2 linked regions of the Canis lupus familiaris genome follow. The protein of the gene in region 2 interacts with the protein of the main gene of each other region in a pairwise test. Links are inferred from orthologs where the notes say so. Each region holds a gene or a part of one and is shown on either strand. Other genes may lie near its edges.

What was found.
Region 1: the proteins of POLDIP3 (region 2) and ERH interact in a two-hybrid assay, tested with the Homo sapiens proteins (2 studies listed by BioGRID, with this or other methods). The link is inferred for Canis lupus familiaris from reciprocal best matches to the Homo sapiens genes POLDIP3 and ERH.

The regions. Positions count from the first base shown.
Region 1 is NC_049229.1:43,496,606-43,507,427, forward strand, and holds the start of ERH (enhancer of rudimentary homolog), read right to left. Parts: upstream 7,033-10,822; 5' UTR 7,018-7,032; coding exon 6,859-7,017; intron 4,283-6,858; coding exon 4,195-4,282; intron 1-4,194. Other genes in the region: SLC39A9 (zinc transporter ZIP9), read left to right, coding at 8,019-8,114. UniProt on the Homo sapiens protein: May have a role in the cell cycle.
Region 2 is NC_049231.1:23,805,443-23,816,200, reverse strand, and holds the start of POLDIP3 (polymerase delta-interacting protein 3), read right to left. Parts: upstream 5,959-10,758; 5' UTR 5,852-5,958; coding exon 5,793-5,851; intron 1-5,792. UniProt on the Homo sapiens protein: Is involved in regulation of translation. Is preferentially associated with CBC-bound spliced mRNA-protein complexes during the pioneer round of mRNA translation. Contributes to enhanced translational efficiency of spliced over nonspliced mRNAs.

The sequences.
Region 1 (10,822 bases), on a different chromosome or scaffold from region 2:
TTAAGAAAATGGCTCCATTTACAATAGCATCAAAAAATAAAATTCTTAAGAATAAATTTAATTTAGGGAACACCTGGGTGGCTCAGCAGTTGAGCATCTGCCTTTGGCTCAGGGTGTGATCCTGGAGTTCCGGAATCAAGTCCCACATTAGGCTCCTTGTGGGGACCTGCTTCTCCCTTATAAATAAATAAATTTTTTTTAAAGATTTTATTTATTTATTCATGAGAGAGACAGAGAGAGAGAGAGAGAGAGAGGCAGAGACATAGGTGGACGGAGAAGCAGGCTCCATGCAGGGAGCCCGATGTGGGACTCGATCCCGAACTCTGGGATCACACGAGCCAAAGGCAGATGCCCAACCACTGAACTACTCAGGCGTCCCAATACAAAGATAACTCGATGAAGAAAGAATAGTCTTTTCAACAAATGGTGCCAAAAGAATAAAGTTGGGTCCACACTTCACATTATATATAAATAATCAAAATGGCCCAGAGACCTAAATGTAAGAGCCCAACTATAACACATTTGGAAGAAAACACAAGCACAAATTTTCCTGACTGAACAAGGCAGTGGCTTCTCAGATATGGCACCAAAACTATGAACATTAGAAAAAAAACATATAAATTGGAGTTCATCAAAATTTATAAATTTTTTTTATTTATTTATGATAGTCACACACACACAGAGAGAGAGAGAGAGAGAGAGAGAGAGAGAGAGAGAGAGAGAGAGAGGCAGGCAGAGACACAGGCAGAGGGAGAAGCAGGCTCCATGCACCGGGAGCCCGACATGGGATTCGATCCCGGGTCTCCAGGATCGCGCCCTGGGCCAAAAGCAGGCGCTAAACCGCTGTGCCACCCAGGGATCCCAGAGTTCATCAAAATTTAAACCTTTGGTGCTTCAAGGACACTATCGAGAAAGTGAAAAGACAAGACACAGACTAGGAGGAAATCTCTGCAAAACATATTATCTGATAAAGAATTAGTATCCAAAACATACAAAGAACTTATAAAACTCAACAATAAAAAAAATAAACACCTCATCTAAAAAGTGGGTTAGGGTTCTGGACACCTTACCAAAGAAAATATACAAATGGCAAATAACTATTATAAAAAGATACACAACATATCATTAGAAAACTACAAATTAAAATGAGTTATCACTATATACCTATCAGAATCACAGAAATCCAGAACACTGACAGCACCAAATGTGGAGAAGAATGTGGAGCAATAGGAATTCTCATTCATTGCTGGTGAGAACACAGAATGGCACAGCCACATCTGAAGACAGTGTGTCAGCTTTTTACAAAGCTAAACACAATCTTACCATATGATGCAATGATCACATTCCTCAGCATTTACCTAAAGGGGTTGAAAACTTAGGCGCACATGAATGTTTGTAGCAGTTTTATTGTAACTGCCAATACGAGAAAGCAATTATGATGTCCTTTGGTGGGTAAATGGATAACCAAACTGTGGTATATCCAAATGATGGATTACTCAGAAATAAAAAGAAATGAGCTAGCTACCAGGCCATGAAGATATGGAAGAACCTTAAAAGGACACTCTTTTGGGACATCTGCATGGTTCAATTGGTTAAGCATATGACTTCAGCTCAAATCTCCATCTTAGGACTCTGAGATCCCCACTCAGTGGGGAATCTGCTGCTCTCTCTCTCTCTCTCTGCCCCTCCCCCTGCTTGTGCCCCTTCTAATACATAAATTAAGATCTTAAAAAACAAAAACAAAAAACCACTGTTTTGTGAAAGAGCCAACCTGAAAAAGCTATATACTACATAATTTCAACTACAGGACATTTTGGAAAAGGTTGACACTATGGAGGCATTTAAAAGACCAGTGGTTGCCAGAGATTTGGGGGGAGGAACAGGTAAAGCACCAGAGATTTTTCAGGGCAGTAAATGGTAGATACTTGTCAGTATTATAAATAAATCAAAACCCGTAAGATGTCCAAAACAAAGACTGAACACTAAAATAAACTATGGCCTTTAATCAATAATGTATCAGTATTGGCTCTATAGTTGTAACTAATGTATCACACTAATATAGAATATAAGTAAGAGAAACTGAAAAGAGGGAGTAGGGAAGAAGGGGTGTGATGGAATTCTCTGTACTTTGAACCAATTTTCCTGTAAGCCTACAACTATCCTAAAAAACTTAATTTAAAAAGACATGGAAGAACCTTAAATGCATATTGCTAAATGAAACAAGACCGTCCAACTCTGACATTCTGAAAAAGGCAAACCTATGGAGGTGGCAAGGAGACCAACAGTTGCCAGGACAGCAGAAGGTGAAGTAGGGATGAATGAACAAGTGCAGCACAGGGATTTTTAGGTAAGTGAAAATTATTCTGTATGATACTGTAACGATGAATATATGTTATGCATCTAGTAAAATCCACAGAACTGTACAACATGAAGGGCCCAATATAAGCTTTAGTTAATAACAGATTTTAGTTAACAGTAGACTTTAGTTAGTAATAATAATGTAGCAATATTGGGTTTACCAGGGCACCTGGGTGGCTCAGTTGGTTAAGCATCTGCCTTCGGCGGCTCAGGTCATGATCTTAGGGTACTGGGATCAAGCCCAAGCTGGGTTCCCTGCTTAGCAGGGTGTCTGCTTCTCCCTCTGCCCCTCTCCCCCTCTCCCCGCTTGTTTGCATGGGCACTCTCTCTCTCACAAATAAATAATCCTTAAAAAAAAAAAAATACTGGTTTCATCAACTGCAACAAACGTACCACATCAACGTTAAGTGTTATTATTATTTTTGTTAAGGTGTTATTAATGGGAGACACTGTGGAGGTGAGGAAAGGGAGTACGTTAGGAACCCTGTATTTTCTGTTCAGTTTTTCTGTAAACCTTGAGCTGCTCTAGAAATAAAGTGTATTAATGAAAAAGAGAAAGTTAGGATTCATTAAAATAGCAAAGGTTGGCAGAGTATTGTGAAATTAAAGACCAAACATAATACAGGTAAGACAATAATGTGCTAAGGCAGAACGTGCACAGAGTCTACCTGAATGGTCAGCAAAGGAAAGGTCCTAAAATGAGGGAAGGACAAGAGCTGCTCTTCTTTGAAAATTAAGAGAATCTACAATCAGGAAGGCATGGTACCAATTACCTAGAAGCTGTCTCTAATTATTACCAGTAGTTTTTTCCCCCCACAGATCTACCCATTGTTGGCTTTATAAGGACAGATTTTAAGGCTAACCCAGTTAGCTCTGGATAATCAACAAATTCAAGGACATGCCCAATTGCAAAAACAGTGACTATAAAATCTTTATAGAAAGAAGTGAAGAACCGGAATCCCTGGGTGGCGCAGCGGTTTAGCCCTGCCTTTGGCCCAGGGCGAGATCCTGGAGACCCGGGATCGAATCCCACGTCAGGCTCCTGGCGCATGGAGCCTACTTCTCCCTCTGCCTATGTCTCTGCCTCTCTCTCTCTCTCTCTCTATCATAAATAAATAATTAAAAAAAAAAAAAAAAAAAAAGAAAGAAGAACGGACAATTTGCTAAAAAGGGTGCAGAATGTGCACAACTGGTTTACTCGATATAATGATTAAATGTAAGGATGAATCCAATTTGTGATGATCCAATCTATGCGCTCTCATCTAATGGTTTACTGAGTAAAGCAGCATTAAGGGCTAATAGTTCCCTTCAGGGTGGTGTCAGCTTATCAAGTACACAATAAATGATACTTATTTGGTTCCATTTGCCTTTATTCTCTGAGCTAATTTTTATCTTCTAACGCTGATGGAGTATACTCAAACCTCAAAAGCTTTTAATGCTTATTTGTTCAATCAGCAGACTAATAGGTTCTGAAGGTATCCCTAGAGCCTGTCTTAACAACTCTATAGTGTTTGAGTCTAACCAGAATACACAAGAACTGTAAGATATTTACATAATGAATAACGGAATATCCACAGAGGGAGGCTTCAGAAGGCCATTCACTGTAATCACGGGAGCTGGATTTAAAAAAAAATACTTGCAGCAGAAGGACAATACCTATAATCAATGTTTCAATTTTCAACAAATACGGTCCCTAGTATCTTCTTCCTTCCTGGCTCAAATTAATAACTTGAGAAATCTGGAGGAAAAACAAGCCTAGTTCCTAAATGAGACATATTCTAATAGTGAAGATCAAGAAAACAAAAATAAAAACTCTTCATTAGTGCTTAAACTCACCTTCCATGCATTCATTCACAGATTCATAGTCAGCGTAAGTTCTGCCTTCTGGCCTCTTGGTAGGCTGTACCAGCAAAATGGTGTGAGACTGCAGGGAGAAAAGGGATTTCAATTTAAGTTTCTAACTCATATTTGAGAAATTCATAGTATGATATAAAATCTCTAGTCATGACACAAATGATCATTGGTTATTAATGCACTATTAATCAGGGTGCTCTTCTTACATTTATGCTTTTGTTCAAGTGTGGTGTCAGATGATGGCTGAACAACTCTGTAAGGTCTCTTCGGACTCCCTGTCCTTAAGGGCTGCTTTCTGCAACTGTTGTACTTACTGCCTCTAAGCATTCAGCATGAGTTACCTTCTACTGTTTTTTCTTCCTTTCTTCCCAACTAGATTATAAACCCACTTAGATTTTCTATCTCCACTGGTCACTTTCTATCTCCAGCCCTATTAAGTGCCTTAAAAAAAAAAAAATTTATTCGTTCATGAGACATACAGAGAGAAAGAGACATAGGCAGAGGGAGAAGCAGGCTCCCTGTGGGGAGCCCGATGTGGGACTTTGACAACCTGAGTCAAAGGCAGCCATTCAACTACTGAGCCACCCAGGTGCCCCTATTAAGTGCTTTAATAAAAATTTAGAAGTAGGCTGAGAAAAAGAGAAATACTATTTATGACTGTAAGTAGTGGATCTATGTTCTTTTTCTATCCTTAGCACAATAACGGAGTCACAGTAGTCGTATCAGTCACTACTATTTAATTTTGTTCTCATTCTGATGAAAATTAAGGGACTAATTTACTTCAAAAAAGTAATGATATGCAAACGGCTATTCAATACGCTACTTTTTACATCTAGTCTTAAAGTGAACTTCTGAGAAAGCTCACTATTTTCAATACTTAGTACTCAAAGACAACGATTAAAAACGAAGAAAAAAAATGACTAAATTTACAAAACTGTAGCTGAAATGGGTATTATTTTTAAGTGGCAGTATTTTGCTTTTAACATTTTAAGACCAGAAAGCTTCCCAAACCAGTTTTGGTCACTTTCTTTTTACTGGAGCTATTTCCAAAGCCGTTTGGTTTTATTAAAAAAAACAAATATGTATGCAAAATACAAGTACACGTAAACAAATACATATATACTTCTCACAACAGAAAAATAAGGTTGCAAAACCTAAGTCAGGAAAAGGTACACAGATATACTTTAATAAAATCCTTATTCTGATTACCAAGCAGATGTAAACCACTTTAATGAATAGTTAATCTGGTCCTACTCTTAAAATTCTTACACATGAACTGAGTCATCCTTCTACTGCTACAGAAATATTACAATACACAGGACTAGGTCATTAGCTTCAGGTGCTTCTGCCAAACTACCAAAAAACCCCACAAAAAATCCCCACCCCTTGAAGCTTGTCTTTAATAAAGCAGAAGTACATACGACGACTGAACCAATAATTGTTTGCTTTATCTACAAATTCGTAGCTCTTAAAGCCACTTGGACTGAGAAGGTATTATCACTGCTATTTGCTCACCCAGAAAGGCTCCGTTGGTATTAACTGCTGTCCCTTCCTCAGATTTGAATCTTACCATTATAACACGTTACCAAAGAGTGACATAAAGGGCAGAGAAAGAAGGGAAACTCAGAGATACAGAGTCTTCCAAAAGTCACACTGCCAATTATGACGAAACAAGAAAGAACTGGAGACCCAGCCTTCCGATTGCTCAGTCGCCTCTGGGAGACCACGTTGGGTCAAACACTTAAAAACACCTCAATTCAGAAAGGTGCAACCTCAGAGAGTTCCTTGTTAACAACAGCTGCGTAACCTGTTAACGTTTAACCCCAGCGATCAGAAAACCGAGGTTGAAGTGCGGAAGAACCACGATTCCTCATAATCCCTGTGGATCACCTTCTTTTTGGCGGAATTAAAAAAAATAATAGTAAATAAAAATGAAATAAAAAAAAAAAAACAAAAACACGAACAAAATACCCACTCACTGCACTACCACCCCGATCCGATTCTAAGGAACCTGGACCCTCAGCTGAGCCCATCTTCTTTTCAGCTTTGAGTCCCAGAGAGAATGAGTAAGAACAGGATTGAGGGCCGGGAGAAACGCCAGATCAGGCCTCTGGGGTCTCGGAAAAGAGGGGAAAGAAACGTTGTATGTCTGTTTGAGGACGGAGCCCAGCAAAACAAAAGGGGATGCCTGAGAAAGCACGCTACAAAGCAAAGACGACCCCTCCCGGCCCACACGCTGGGCGCAGCACACCCCATCTGTCAGCTTCAGGCGCAGGTTTGTCAGACATCCCTCGGCCATTGTTCCCACATCGGGCCAGACTCTGGGGGAAAAGCGCAGCATCCCCACGCAGCTCGCGGGAGGAAGCGCATCCTCCGCACCGCACGCCTCGCCGGACCTCGGCCGCGGGCGCGCAAACGCAGGGCGGACCTGGGCGGACCCGGGCGGACCCGGGCGGACCCGGGCTCCGGGGCCTAGCGCCAGGCCCAGCGGCCCCGCGGCCCCGCGGCGGGAAGGGGAGAGGTCGCGCCACAAGCTGGCGGGCCGGGGAGCTGCACTCTCGCGCTGGATGGGCTGGGGACAAGATGTACACGGCTGGGATCGCCTCAGAGGCCGGGGGATCGGGGAGCCGCCGAGGCCTTTCTCACCATCGCGCCAAACTCTCTCGCCGCAGCCGCTGCCGACACCGCCGCCGCACACGAGCTTAGCCGCAACGCCGCCAACAGCCAATCCCCGCGAGAGGAGCCGCCGGAAGTCGTCAGAAACGCACCGCGAAAGAGCCTTTTGGACCATAGAAGCGAACACATTTCCGGCAGCTAGAGCGGATACCGACTCTGGCTCAGCCATCTTGGATAAGGGCGAGGAGCTAGATACAGGTAATTGCTCCAGAACTGGAAAAATAATCGTTTCTTCTCAAAAAAAAAAATCGTTTCTTCTCGAGACACGGTCTTCCATATTCTCGCCATTAGACGCACGACTAGAGTGAACACAGATATATATGGACTCTGACACCAGACCTCTTTAATTAGCCCTACTCAAAAATGGCGGTAGCCTAAGAATCCCGGGCCATAGGTCGGTTGTAACCCGGAAGTACTCTTCTAAAGGAGGGGGCGGTGAAGCAATCCGGAAGTGGATGTAATGAAGAGGTGCCACTTGGCGGCCATGGCAGCTGTAGTATCGGTGGCTCCGGGTCGAGGCCCAGCGGAGTGGAGTAATATGGGCAGCACCGGGTATAGGGCAGAGACAGCTTTGTATCAGCTTCCCTGCTGAACCCCTAAGCCCATCGTTAGAGACCTGCGGGACTCTTTGCCCGTTCTAGACTCGGAGGAGAGTTTGCCGGGACTGGTGGGCTGGTCCCAGCCTGGGGGAAGACTGCCCCGGGGACGTAGGGGCGCCGGGAGAACGAACAAGTCTGCTCGAGTTTTCCTTTTTCTTGCTGCCATCTGGGACGTTGTCCGTGGAGGAAGTGGGCCCATTGTGCCACCCCTCCGACGATTGAAGAAATCGCTCTTTTGCATACCTTTAACCGTAAACCCCAGGGAATCCAGTGACTGGCATCTGAAAACGCAGGGGCCGGGACCTGAGATTGATGAAAGTTCTCTCTGGTGCTAATATCAGCAAAAAGGGGCTAGTTCCAGGCGCGTTCCAGAGAAAGGGGTTTCTGAACACATCTAGTGGGGAGGACGGACGACCTGGAAAGTCCCCTTGTTCTGTTGGAATCACTATACGCGTTTAAGAACCTAAGGACCCTTTGAGGCCCCTGAAAATTTGCAGTTCTGGTGGCGGTGGGCAAATAAAGGAGGACAGAATGGATGATTTCATCTCCATTAGTCTGCTCTCTCTGGCTATGTTGGTGGGATGTTACGTGGCTGGAATCGTTCCCTTGGCTGTTAATTTCTCTGAGGTAAGAAATTCTCAATTTTCTGTCAGCTTTCAGGATGGCTGGTAGGAAGTAGGGAAAGTTGTAAAGAAAGGGAAGCTGCTTCCCCAACGTATCTCAGAGCTAAAGGTCTTACTAAGAAAGACTGTCTTCTAACAAGATACATAGAGGGGATCCCCGGGTGGCTCAGCGGTTTAGCACCTGCCTTTGGCCCAGGGCAGGATCCTGGGGCCCCGGGATCGAGTCCTGCATGGGGCGCCTTGCATGGAGCCTGCTTCTCCCTCTGCCTGTGTCTCTGCCTCTCTCTCTCTGTGTGTCTCTCATGAATAAATAAATAAAATCTTTAAAAAAATAAAAAAGATACATAGAATTTCATAATAGAAAGGAACCTTATTTTAAGCATCGGAGTCCTTAACGTGGGGTGGGCAGACCCCCTGGAGATCCTGGGGTACTCTGAATCTTGTGAAATTGCATACAAAAATTTAGGGCTCTGTGTATTTTCCTGGAAAGAAGCACCATAACGTTCTTTTGATTCCCAGGGATTCCAAGGAATCAAGGTTCCAGTTGCTCTCAAGAAATGTAAATGGAGACTATTATTTGTCCATATACGTAGAAATCAGTATTACTCCTCATTTGGAGAAAATAAAGCATAGTTTTTGTGGGGGGGAAGGTAGTCTTTTGGATTAGAATCCAAAAGTTTTCCGGCGTTTTGAATTTTTTTGTGTTAGAATGAAGATGAGAAAAATAGATTTTTAAAAAGATTTTATTTATATATTCATGAGAGAGACACAGAGAGAGGCGAAGACACAGGCAGAGGGAGAAGCAGGCTCCCTGTGGGGAGCCCCCTGCAAGACTTGATCACAGGACCCTGTGATCAGGACCTGAGCCAAAGGCAGACAGACGCTCAACCACTGAACCACCCAGGCATCCCTAAATCAGATTGTTCTTAACTCACATTTCCTTTTATTTATTTATTTAATTTTTTTTTTAAAGATTTATTTATTTGTTCATGAGAACACACAAAGAGAGAGAGGCGGAGACACAGGCGGAGGTAGAAGCAGGCTCCACGTAGGGAGCAGGACGTGGGACTTAATCCTGGGACTTCAGGATCATGCCCTGGGCCAAAGGCAGGCGCCAAACCGCTGAGCCACCCAGGGATCCCTCACATTTCCTTTTAAAGAAAGAGGGCACTAGAATGGATATTTGAAGTTGTTTCAGATCTGCTTAGAAATGAATTTTCTGTTAATATGTTTTAACATTTGGGTTAATTTGTTAATTTGTCATTACTCGACCAGCCATTAGTGAGGAAGAAAGATGAAACCATTGTTCAGTGAAAATGCAGATAAGTTCTTCATAAAGAGTTCACAACATGCACAGTGCTCAAAAGATTTAGTGAGGAAAAACTACTACATTCGGAGGGAACAGTATTTCATGAGTATCTTGGGGTTCAGCAGTAAAATAGGCCCAGTTTCACTGCCAGTCCTGAAAGAACTTCGTGAAAGAGCAAGCTGGTAGTCATACCAAAGCTACCCCACAGACTTTTACTTTGTTAGAGTAGCAGAGTATTTATTTTCATTATTATTGATTTGTGTCTATTCCCTCAAGGCAGCAGTTGGCTAGAGCTGAGTATCAGGAGATGGTCACAGCACTCCTTGGCCTTGAAGCCTACTTCACTCATTTGGGCCGCCTGTCCGGGGCTTTGTGAGCCTGCTTTATTCTGACGTGAACCATATTTTCGAATAGCTGCATTAGAATTTAATTGACCTTATTAGCACTGACATTTGTGAGATTTAAGTTGGTTTATATATTTAAAAACTGAGGTAACATTTATCAAAAATTATAGTTAATTCAAATAAATCAGTAAAACTTTTTATTTCTATAAAATGGTTAGAGCTTTTCCAATATCAGTATTTTCTTGAACTGTCTTGATTGATTTTTGTGATATGCAGGTATCTGCTATTTTCTTTTTCACTGAAACGAAATGTGTCCATGTGTGGTGTAACTAACCAAGGCATTAATAATCAGTATGATGTGTCATTTATGGCTATCTGAATTGATGGCCAAGTGGTCTTTTCCAACTGTAGGTCTTTTTTTTTTTTTTTTTTTTTTTTTTTTAAAGATTTTATTTATTTATTCATGATAGTCACAGAGAGAGAGAGAGAGAGAGGCAGAGACACAGGCAGAGGGAGAAGCAGGCTCCATGCACCGGGAGCCCGACGTGGGATCCGATCCCGGGTCTCCAGGATCGCGCCCTGGGCCAAAGGCAGGCGCCAAACCGCTGCGCCACCCAGGGATCCCCCAACTGTAGGTCTTAAAATGCTATAAATCATATTCATAATGTCTGTTTATTATTGCAATAGGAACAGTGCATCGAGCTGTTAGAATAAAAATGAAAGTTACATATAACTTAGACATTTTAGAATTCAACTGTTTTCAGTCTTCTAGAAATTAAACATTTTTTTCTAGACAGATTATACTATTGTAGATTGATGTATCATGAAACTAGTGAGATGATAAATTTGTAAAAAATAAATTTCATTCACGGGGGCAGGGAAGCACAGTTTCTACTCTTAGAAAATAGCTCCCTAGGTTCCTACATTGGCTAAACTACTTTTTAAGGGAATCTGGCTTTTCTTAGGGACTAGGGTTATTATAAATAAAGAGACCAATAAATCTAATTTGTTTTACAGTTCATTTTCATGTAAATGAAAAGATATGCTATTTATTCATGT
Region 2 (10,758 bases):
ACATCTGTACGGCGGTGAGAAGGCTTAGACCCGGCCCAGTGTGCTCAGGAAGAGGTCATGTGAACGACGCCTACTATAGCCCAGAGCTTGCAGCCTCCTGGCTCTCGCAGCTCTGCTGGGGTGCCTCCTGCCCTCAAGAGCATTCCCTCACTTATCCCCTACCAGCTTCCACAGCCCGAGGCACCCTCCTTGGGGCAGTGGAGCCCTGGACACAATGCAGCTGAGGCACTTACTGTGCTGAATCAGGAGGATCTGTTTCCAAGCCCACACCTCCTGCAGGACCAGGAGCCTCTTAGGGGTACACCCTGCATCTTCTCGCCTGGGTCAACCCTGTACCAGGCAGATGAAAAAAAGGCTCGAAGAACTTTCTGGTCCTGAGAGCCCACCAAGTGCCAGGGACCCTACAGGGACCCCAGACATTCTCCTTTCTCTTTCTCCTTTCTCTCCCTGAGAGAATGCGGTTGTTATTCACAGATGACAGGGTCCCGCTGAAGGATGCACTGGACTTCCCTGAAACTAGTTAGAGCACCAAAAATGAAGCATGAGTCAAAAATAAAGACCAGAACTTGAGAGGCGCCTGGGTGGCTTAGTCGGTTGAGCATCTGCCTTTGGCTCAGATCATGATCTCCAGGTCCTGGGATCAAGCCCCACATTGGGCTCCCTGCTCAATAGGAGCCTGTTTCTCCCTCTCCCTTTGCCCCTGATCCTGCTCATGTGTTGTCTCTGTCTCAAATAAATGATAAAATCTTAAAAAAAAAAAAAAAAGACCAGAACTTGAAGAGTTAATGAGGCATACTGTCCCCAGGCTAAGGAAGAGCTTAGGACTCCAGTCACGTCCAGGGCCACAGCACACACTCCAGTAACCAGAGGGTGAGCGCAAACACTTGGGATGGCCCAGTGTGCTCAGTCGGGACCCACACACCAGACCGCTTGTGTGGCAAGAAAGATCACCGAGATGCCTTGTGCTGGTCTTTTGAATCTCTCTGAACAGTACAACAGGTCCATCTGGGAGAGGGAGGGGACGTGGCTGGGGATGGAGGAGCGTGAGTTAAGTTACTTCCCCTCAATTCATGGCATTCAGTTCCCTGGTTACACCAGTTCTTTCAACTCCTTTCATGAACAGCTTTCGGGGCTTCAGTGTTCAGGCTTTTTATAATCACTGCTCCTCCTCTTGCATGAAAAGACGGCTATTCATCCCAGCAGGCAGCAGTGCTGGGTACAAGGCAGGCATTAGTCATCAGGAATTTTTCAAATAAACACTCCTGCTAGGAGTGGGTCTCCAAAACACAGAGTCCATGGTGTTACCCTCCTGTTCCAAGAACTGCGGAGGGCTTCCTAACAAAGCCCAGCCCCTCAGCAGAGCCTCTGGACTGGCCCCAGCTCCTACCTGCAGCCTCACCTCCCACTGTACACTATCTGATGTTCCTGAAACACATTCTGCACTTTGGGCCTCAGTAAATGTTTGGGAGAAGGGTGGGGGAGGTTTGGAGCAAGGCTCTGGCCTGCCCCACCCTGCCACACTGAAACAATGCACCCACCCTGGTTCCAGGGCCCTACTAGGTACTCCATGGGGTTCTGGGAAGGGCGCTGGGGGTGACAGGGCCAATGTCCCCACTGGAACCTCAGTGCTTTCTGCCACACCCCGACCAGAGCTGGCTCTGGACAGATGTCCAGACCAAAGGATCCAGGCCCATAAAGGGGAACCCTGGTTTATTAGTAGAAGGTGGATTTTAATGCATAGGGTCTCTGGGTTAGAATTGTGTGTCCTGAGGTCACCTTTACATGGAGAAAACACGGTTTAGTTCTGTTATGGAGAATCAATCCTGAATTAGGCGCTTTGCAGACACAGAGAAACAGGATAGCATCCCCTTACCCTCCAAGAAAGTCTTGTGCAAATGTTTTGTTTTAGATCCTTTTTTTTTTTTTTTTTTAAGATTTCTACTTTTTTTATTCAGGAGAGAGACACAGAGAGAGAAAGAGGCAGGGACACCGGCAGAGGGAGAAGCAGGCTCCTCGCAAGGAGCTCGATGCAGGACTTGATCCCAGGACTCTGGGATCACGCCCTGAGCGAAGGCAGACAGATGCTCAATTGCTGAGCTACCAGGCGTCCCTTAAATCTATTTCTTCCCCTCCATGTTACATAATAACTAATTTTCCTCCCCTTTGTTTTAGGTCTACATTTCTTTTATCTTATTTCAACAAGCAAACAAGCAATAAGTATTAGGACCAGAGCCCTGGCCTGAACTGAAAAGCTGACCGACCTCCTTCTCCACGGCTCCAAGAACTACCCAGGCAGGGCATCTGGGCCAGAGCTGCTCAGGGCAGCACATGCCCAACCTTTCCACTACAACGGCCTGCCGCCTTTCATGAACATTCTCTAACCAGAAGGTGGCAGTGGACAATTATCTTCCAAGAGCTAAACTAATCAAACCAGGGTGGGCGACTCTGCAAACTTGACCAGCAGCAGCACGCTCATGTTTTAAGGAAAACACCAACAAGAACAGGCCCGCATTGCAGTTGGTGCCGTGAGCTGTCCAGGGGAGACTCCTCCATAGGTCTTGGGCAACCAAAGTCAACAAAGTCAAGCTGTGCATGGTGAGGGACAGCGCCTCACCATGGCTGAGTGAAGTATCACACAAAACTCTTTATTTGCAGGTTAATCAGGGAAATCTTTTTTTTTTTTTTTTTTAAGACTGTATTACTTATTCATGAGAGACACAGAGAGGGGGCAGGGGGCAGGGACACAGGCAGAGGGAGAAGCAGGCTCCATGCAGGGAGCCGGATGTGGGACTCGATCCTGGGTCTCCAGGATCAGGCCCTGGGCTGAAGATGGTGCTAAACTGCTGAGCCACCCAGGCTGCCCCAGGGAAATCTTTTGATAAGATTAATTCAGGACCCTGGTAATAATGGTAATGACCCCTTTCTAGGCTTACAAGGTGTGATGAACACAAAACAGAATGGATGCACTAAAGAACAAGCACATTCCATGACCTGTGGGGAAACACGTTATTTACACTTCCACAGGTTCATTCTTTCCTTTCCTTCTTTTTTTTTTTTTTTTTAAATTCATGAGAGACACAGAGAGAAAGGCAGAGACATAGGTAGAGGGGAGACTAATGTGGGACTTGATCCTGGGACCCTGAGCTGAAGGCAGATGCTCAACCATTGAGCCACCCAGGCGTCCCTACACTTCTACAGGTTCTTGTGCTATTTCCACTAAGAGGAAGAGATAATCACTGGCTCTACTTAAATTATCAAGCACAAAGTTTTTCCTGGGACCTCCATGCAATGCCATCCCACAGTTCCCAGGAAGGAAGAATTCTTCCAGGAAGCATGTAAGACAATATAGTTACTGAAGGAAACGACATTTGTTCACTGCCATTAGCTGAGACCTTTCAGTTTTTGACAGGGATGCCCTAGATGTAGTTCACTGGCTTTGCAAGGTAAAAAAACAAAAACAAAAACAAACAAAAAAAAAGTTTTTAAAAGATTTATTCATTCACGAGAGACACAAAGAGGCAGAGACACAGGAAGAGGGAGAAGCAGGCTCCCCATAGGGATCCTGACTCGGGACTTGATCCCAGGACTCCAGATCATACCCTGAGCCTAAGGCAGATGCTGAGACACTCAGGCGCCCAAAACTGAAGTTTCTACCAGGTTTAATCCAAATACAGCATGTAGGCCAAACTAGCATGTAGACAGCTCTAGTCTCTGCACAATCTCCCAATCCAATCATTGTGTAAGAGCAGAGTAATATTCTCACATATTCTTACACAAAACTGGAAAGTTACTTTATTTAAAAGCCTTCAGTAATGATGATTAGAGCTAACATTAATTGAACACTTAAAACCATCAGATACTTTCAAACTACTTTACATTAGCAATCACCTAATAAATATCTGTATCTTATAAATAAGAGAGATATGGAATGGTTAAGTAACCTAAGATCACGTGGAAAGTGAGAGAAGGGAATCGAAATCTTAGTTTGACTCTAGGGCTTCAACACTAACCTAATGTTCCCCATCAGGGGGAGGGGTTGGGCTTCTCCTCCTTTAAAGGGAAGATCCACAATAATTGCTATCATTTGCTGAACACTTACTACCTGGTGCAAACTTTTTTTTTTTTGGTGCAAACTTTAAAATGTACATTTTTATATTTTCATACCTAATCTTCTCAACAACCTGCCAGAAACCATTACTACAAATGAGGAAACGTCCCAGCTCTGAAGTCATCTTGCCAGGGTGGCACAGAACCCAACAACAGGCCCACCAGGGCACCAGGTCGGCCTGGTGGCTCAGTGCTCGGTCATCCCACGGATCCTCAACCGAATGCCCAACACCAGACTCTGCACACATCGGAGCCAACAAAGTACAGACCCAACAGACAGTACAGACCGTCTGCAGTCAGGAACAGAGGGGGGTGACTGCAGAAAGGGCACGTCCTGGGTAGTTGGTTCATTCAGCAACTGTCCATCAAACTGATGAAACTCAGTCTTAGAAGTGGCCAGAGGACCGAGCACCAATTCCACACCAGTTACCAGCGGGAAGACCTAGGAGAGAGCTACTCAGAGAACAGCTGAGCAAATTAACGGTTCCTGTGTGCCTGTTATGAACCAGAAGCCAGGTGCATAGCTGGCTGGTGAACTACGTACGCGGTGGCGGCAGGTGCAGTGGATGTGTGCAGGGGGCTGGGGGCGGTGGGGATGCACTTGTTAGCCAAGGAGAGGATCTACTTTCTAACCACCGCAGGCGGGAGGTATTAACAAGCATCTGCTCAGTGAATGACTTCCGATCCGAGAAGACCGTGTCTAACATTTTTACAGGCAGTTTACAAGGACATGTGAACTACCGCACGTATGCTGGAGAACTGCTGGCCGCAGTCCCACTTCAAACAGGTGAGAGCTGGAGCTCATTAAAGGCTGGAAATGACGGACCACGTTTAAGGGTCCGGAGCAACTTCCGGGCACCTCATCGCAAATCATCTCCGCACTCGGAGCCACAACAGTCTTCTCCGACAACCATCAAGAAGCTCTAACCTCCGGGCCCACCTGTTTTGTTTTGTTTTTTTTTCTTGCCCAAGCCCGAGGCCAACTCAGCCAGCTCCTAAAAGGCACGCAGCCCCCCAACTTTCAGGGGGACGAACTCTTCGTGGCCTCGGGTTAAGTCCCTCTACGTCTCCCGGCCTCAAGCTCGTCATCTGCAAAACGGGAGAAATACGAATACGGTACGGGGCCGGTACGGCTGCGAAAGGGGGCAAAACGGGACGGTGGTTGCACGAAAGCGCTCGGGGGACGTGAACCGCCGCACGGGCGAGGCGGGGGTTAACGGGGGCGGCGGAGCCGGGGAGCGCGCGCAGGGCCTGCGAGCTGAGGTCTGGGTCGCAGCCTCGCCGGCAGCAGATCGGCGGAGCCTGGGCGGGTCACTTCCCCGCTAAACTTCGGCCGTCCTAACCCCAAGGCGGCGCGGAGACCGAGGAGCAGCGCGGCGCCCAGGGCCAGTCTCCCCCGCGGGCGGACCGGGCGGCCCCGGGAGACCCCGCGAGCCCTCCCCCCTCCCCCCGCCCCGGCCGCCCCGGCCCCCCCGGCCTCCCCGGAGCGACGGCGCTCCCAGCCAGTGTGGACCGCCCGGCGGCCGGGCCCGCGGAGGCGGCGGGGCCGGGCCAATGAGGAGCGCGGCTGCGGCAGGGGGCGGGCGCACACGGCGCTGCGCTTCGCTCCCGGGCCGCTCCCTCCCCCGCCCCGAGCCCCGCTAGGCCACGGGCCCTGAGCACCGGAGGGAGAAAGGGCCGCTCACCGCCCCTTCGTCGCAGCCCCGCGCTTCCGGATGAGCTCGTCCAGGGAGATGTCCGCCATCTTGCGCCGCCGAGCGAACCGCGAGCAGCTGAGACTCCCCCAGCCCTGGAGCCCGCCCCTTCGGCCGCTACGGAGCAACGAGCCGCTTCCGGCGTCCGGCCGACGAACTCTCGCGACAGCTCAAACCAAGACAAGAACCGGAAGGGGCGGGGAGCTCCCCGTGAGCCTTTGCGACGCCAGCTGCTTATCTGCATACGGGGGGGCTCCGAGTACCTACGGTTCCCGGTTCTCCCCAGCGAAGAAATAAAATGGAGAGTGATATAAAAAATTAAATAAGTGAATGAGACGAACTGCGAAGGGCCTGGGCTCTTGGTTTAACGGTCGCTCTGCTACTCACCGTAGGGCTAATGAGAAGGGGATTCATTACCCAGCGAGTAACACGTGTAGCTCTTTATGCCTTAAACTTATGAGTAAGGAAAATAACGATTCGGGGTGACGCCCGAATCCTCACTGCTAATGTGAGACGAATTTTTGAGCGGGTAAAGGTCGCCCCTGAGGTGACCCGCCTACTTTGCGGGATGCCTGGGAGCCGCGATCTGCCCGGCCCCCCCCTACCCTGAAAGAGCAGACGAGCGGCCCGGTCGGCGGGCGGGCGGGCGGGCGGGCGGAGAGGCCTCCAAGTCTTCCTAGCGGGCCGGCGCCCCTGCCTCGCCGGGTCCTCCGCGGGCTCTGGGCTTGGGGGGTTTGTTTTGTTTTTGTATCTTTTTTGTTGTTTTTGAGAGATTTTGTTTATTCCCGAGAGAGGCAGGCACCCATGGGAGCCCTACGCGGGACTGGGTCCCAGGACCCCGGGGATCAGGACCTGAGCCTAGCGAGACGCTCAGCCACGGGCCCCCCCAGGCGTCCCATTTCCGGACGTTTTGCAATTTATGGTGCATGAAAATAAAAGTCGCTTTTCACGTCTGGCCCCGTGAGCCTTAGGCCGATGACCTCGCCCAGTTCTCTGAAACTTTCCCCCGTCATTACAAGGGTTAAGGCCAGCCGCTGCCCGGTGACAACCGCAGCTGCCGGGGTGGCTGCTCACTGGCCGGAGCTGCAGGACCGCCTGGGTCCCGTCCCACCAGCCGCGCTTCCCGGCGGCTTGACTCTCCCCCCGCAAGTCGCTCCGATCTTCCCGATGATCTAGAAAACCGGGCGAATGACCGGTCGTTGGGAGGAGGAAATAGACGTTACAATCCATGGGTGGAATTGCCTGGTCTGTGATGGCAGCCCCAGGCCCCAGCACTGTAAGCTTGGCGCGAGGTACAGGTTTGCTGCATCAATCGATTAAAAAAAAAAAAAAAAAGCACGTAGGGCGCTGTGCTCTGTGAGTTATTACTATTATTAATTTCTAAGTGCATTGATGCCCGCGGAGTTCATGTACTGTTGACAGGCCGCACCGTAGTTAAAAGTCTGGCAGCAGAAGGTGTGCGGGCCAGAGCTGGCAAAGCCAGCGGGGCTGGGCCGGGTCCCACCTCCTCAGCCGTCAGACCTGACCCCGCCAGCCCCTCCCTGCCTCCCTCTCTCCTTCCGTCCCGGAAGTGCAGCGGGGGGGGGGGGGGGGGGGACGACGACGACACAGGGACCAGGTTGGGCCTCAGCACCCTCCCCTCCCCTGGACCGCGCAGGGCAGGTGCAGAAGAACGTGGAAGGGGCCATGGGACCCCAGGGGTTAAAGCCCTGTCACGCCTTAAATGCAATGTAAAAAAAAAAGTGACCTAAAGGTTATTTTTCAAGCTAGTTCAGTGAGGTTATTAGCTGAGGTCAGCTATCATCGAGGTGACCTTCCCTTGGAGGCATTTCATAAGGTGTAGAGCTTTGTAGGGTGCTGATTGTCTGGAGGACGGGGATCTGGAATCCGGTCACGCGGAGGGTGGGGACAGGGATGTGGCGATCCTGAGGCAAGGGCCCTCCCCATGCCTGCGACGTTCCCATGTTCCGGGAGGGACGAAGAGCATCACACTCCCAGGCAGGGCTTCCCTCCATATCTTGTATGGACACGTAGGACTTTTTGCTCAAGGCGAGCAAACGTGGAATTGCTGGGAACGTACTGGGTCCTGCTTTGTTTGGAAATAGACCAAGGATTGTGCCCTGCCTGGGAAAACCGCGTCCCTGTGGGCAGAGACTGGGAGTCGGGCTGCATCTGGGGCTGTGACTGTCCAGGGACCCCTGCCCACCCCCCTTCTGGGGACTTCGGCCACCCTGAAATGTGGTGGTATCCTTTTATAAATTCCTTTCCTTTCTTGCTCTAATATGATTGGAGTTTTATGTTTTTTGTTTGAAGATTTATTTTATATATATATAGAGAGAGAGCACGAGAGTTGGGGGGGGGGCAGAGGGAGGAGACAGAAACACAAGCAGACTGCGCTGAGATGGAGCCAGACACGGGACTCGATCTCATGACCCTGAGATCAGACCTGAGCTGAATCGGGACTTAACTGGCTGAGCCACCCAGGTTCAGGTGCCCCAATTTTTAAAAATTCTATATGCAAGCTCATAATATTACCTGTGAATCCACTTCAAGAGGCTCAAGAGGGTGTTATAAATATTATTTTAAAAGGGTGTCAGGTCTGAGAGGGTGGCAAGTCATGACCTAGTTCACTCACCTGTTATACAGATGGAGAAACTGAGGCGAGGAGAGGGGGGGGGCCCAGGTCCAATCCATGCCCTTCTCAGCTCCCGGGGACAGCCCCTTGTGAGCTCAGGCAGGTGCACCTTCAAAGCCCGACACTCAGGCCTGCTTTCCCATCCTCCAGAAGGGGGTCACGATGAGGAGACGGGACCTGAGCGCAGTGTCTGCAGGGTCCCCAGCACACAGTAGGTGTTCAGAAGGGATTCCCAGGCCAAGCCCTTCCCTGCCCACTGAGGAGTCCCAGCCCTACTCCTGATGTGGGCCAGGGCCAGAAGAGACGGGAAGAGAGGAAAGAGGAGAAAGGGGCTCCCTGGCCTGAGGCTGGGCTTCCAGCATTCCTCCCTGCACACCCCCCCATCCTCTCCTCTTCCCTACTCCGCTCCAGTCACACTGGCCTTCACGATGTTCCTACCAGGTCTCTGCCCCAGGGCCTTTGCACTTGCTGGTCACTCTAGAGCACGTCTACTGTGCTTCCTTTCCAGGCTCATTTCCGCTGTCCCCTCAGTCACCTGCTTTCTTCCATCTGTTTCTCAAAGTTAATTCCCCAAGCTTGTTCCCAAGGCATCTGTACGTGCTGTTCCATCACCTTGAACACCTACCCCAGCAGGGCCAGCTTCGTTGTCTCTTCAGAGAGAACAGCACTCACTCCCACGTTGCCTCGTGGCCTGACTTGTCTTGGCATTTGCTGTTTCACTCATGACACCGTCTGGCACTTGTCTTTCTCACCAGCACCCCAGGAATAGGGGAGGGCGTGTGGGGGCGGCTGCAGCCAAGTCTCCGGCACTTGGAACAGTGCATGAAGGCACGAGGGAGCTAGGGCCCCCTGTGCCGCCTTCCACGGGGAGAGCGGTGCCTGCCTCACCTCATGGCCCAGCTTCCTACCTGAAGGCTAGTCATGGCTGAGCCTCAGGCTCTCCAGCAGAAACCAAGGCCAGTGATTTCTCCCTGGTTTTCAGAGGGGAAAACAGAAAGGAAAACAATGAGGACATACAGAGCTGGACAACACAGGAGCGGAGAGAGCTTTTCACGCGGTGTGAATAAGGCTGGGCGTCAGGGGGCTGGCACCAGGGGAGGACTCCAGGCTGGACTCCCAGAGTCCATACACCCTGGCTCAACTTTCTGTCTCCAGGACTCTAACCTCAAAAAAATCATCGGAGGGGCACCTGGCTGGCTTCAGTTCAGTAGAGCATGTGACTCTTGAAGGTTGTGAATTCAAGCCCAGTGTTGGTGGGGAGCCTACTTAAAAAAAAAAAAGAAATCATCTGAAAGGAGGATGAAGGCCACCACTGTTTACAAAGTCCACAAACTGGAAGCAGCCTAACTGTCCAAGGGTAGGGGATTTGCTATACAATCAATTATGATCCTTGTGGGCTTCTAGAGAATGTGTGACCCCAGGGGAAAGCCCATCTGATGGAGGAAAAGCAGCAGCCCCATGGTGGGCCATGTGGTTTCAACAGAGGCATTTGCCTGTGGATGTACAGTATTTTTTTTCCCCTGTGCATACTTTTCTGTACAGTCCAAAGCTTACACGATGAACACACGAAAAGTGAGTGCTGGGGCCCTTCCTGTCTCTTCTCCCACAATGCCCCAAGTCACAGAGCCTCAAGGAACTGCAAAAGGGTTAGTATTAGCAAAGTTTTATTTCAATGTTTTTTTTTCTGCTCATAAATGATTCTGAAAAAGCCCATATGCAAGAGGCGAACCCACCCTTCTAAAGGCAACATCGAGGTCACTGAGAATGCTGCTCAGACAAAAACTTCCCCTGTGCTGGGGTGCGGGCAGCATGACGGGTGGGTTTGGGACAGAGGAATAAATAAACATCGTCTCAGCTCTGCCATAAGCACTGGCAGCCCAGGGCCCCGAGGCGGTCCATCAGACTGCCGGGCTGACGGCGTGGAACTCCCAAAGCCGCCCAGATGCTTAGATGTGCTGGGGAGATGCTGAGGCTTCAGGAGGGCTGAGGTGCCCCCTGAAGAGCCTTCAGCCAGCCCCCTCCTCCTACTCCAGGCTGGGAGAGAGCCCAGCTCTCTGCTGACTGGGCCTGCCTGGGTCCTGGGGTGGGGGCAGACTCTCACCCCCACAGCCCCAGCCAAAGGGACTTTTTGGTGTTACCTGTCATGTAGTGTCAGGTGCTAAGGCCTGGCTGTGGCCCTGAGCAGGTAGTGAGGGGTGGCAGGTGAGGGTCCCAAGGCAGTGGCTGGGGGGGACCCTGCCACCTGCAGCTCTGGGCTGCCTGTACATTTGTGTTTATTTCCAGAGGGTAGTCTGCTTTGGGAGGCGGGGTGGGGTGGAGCAT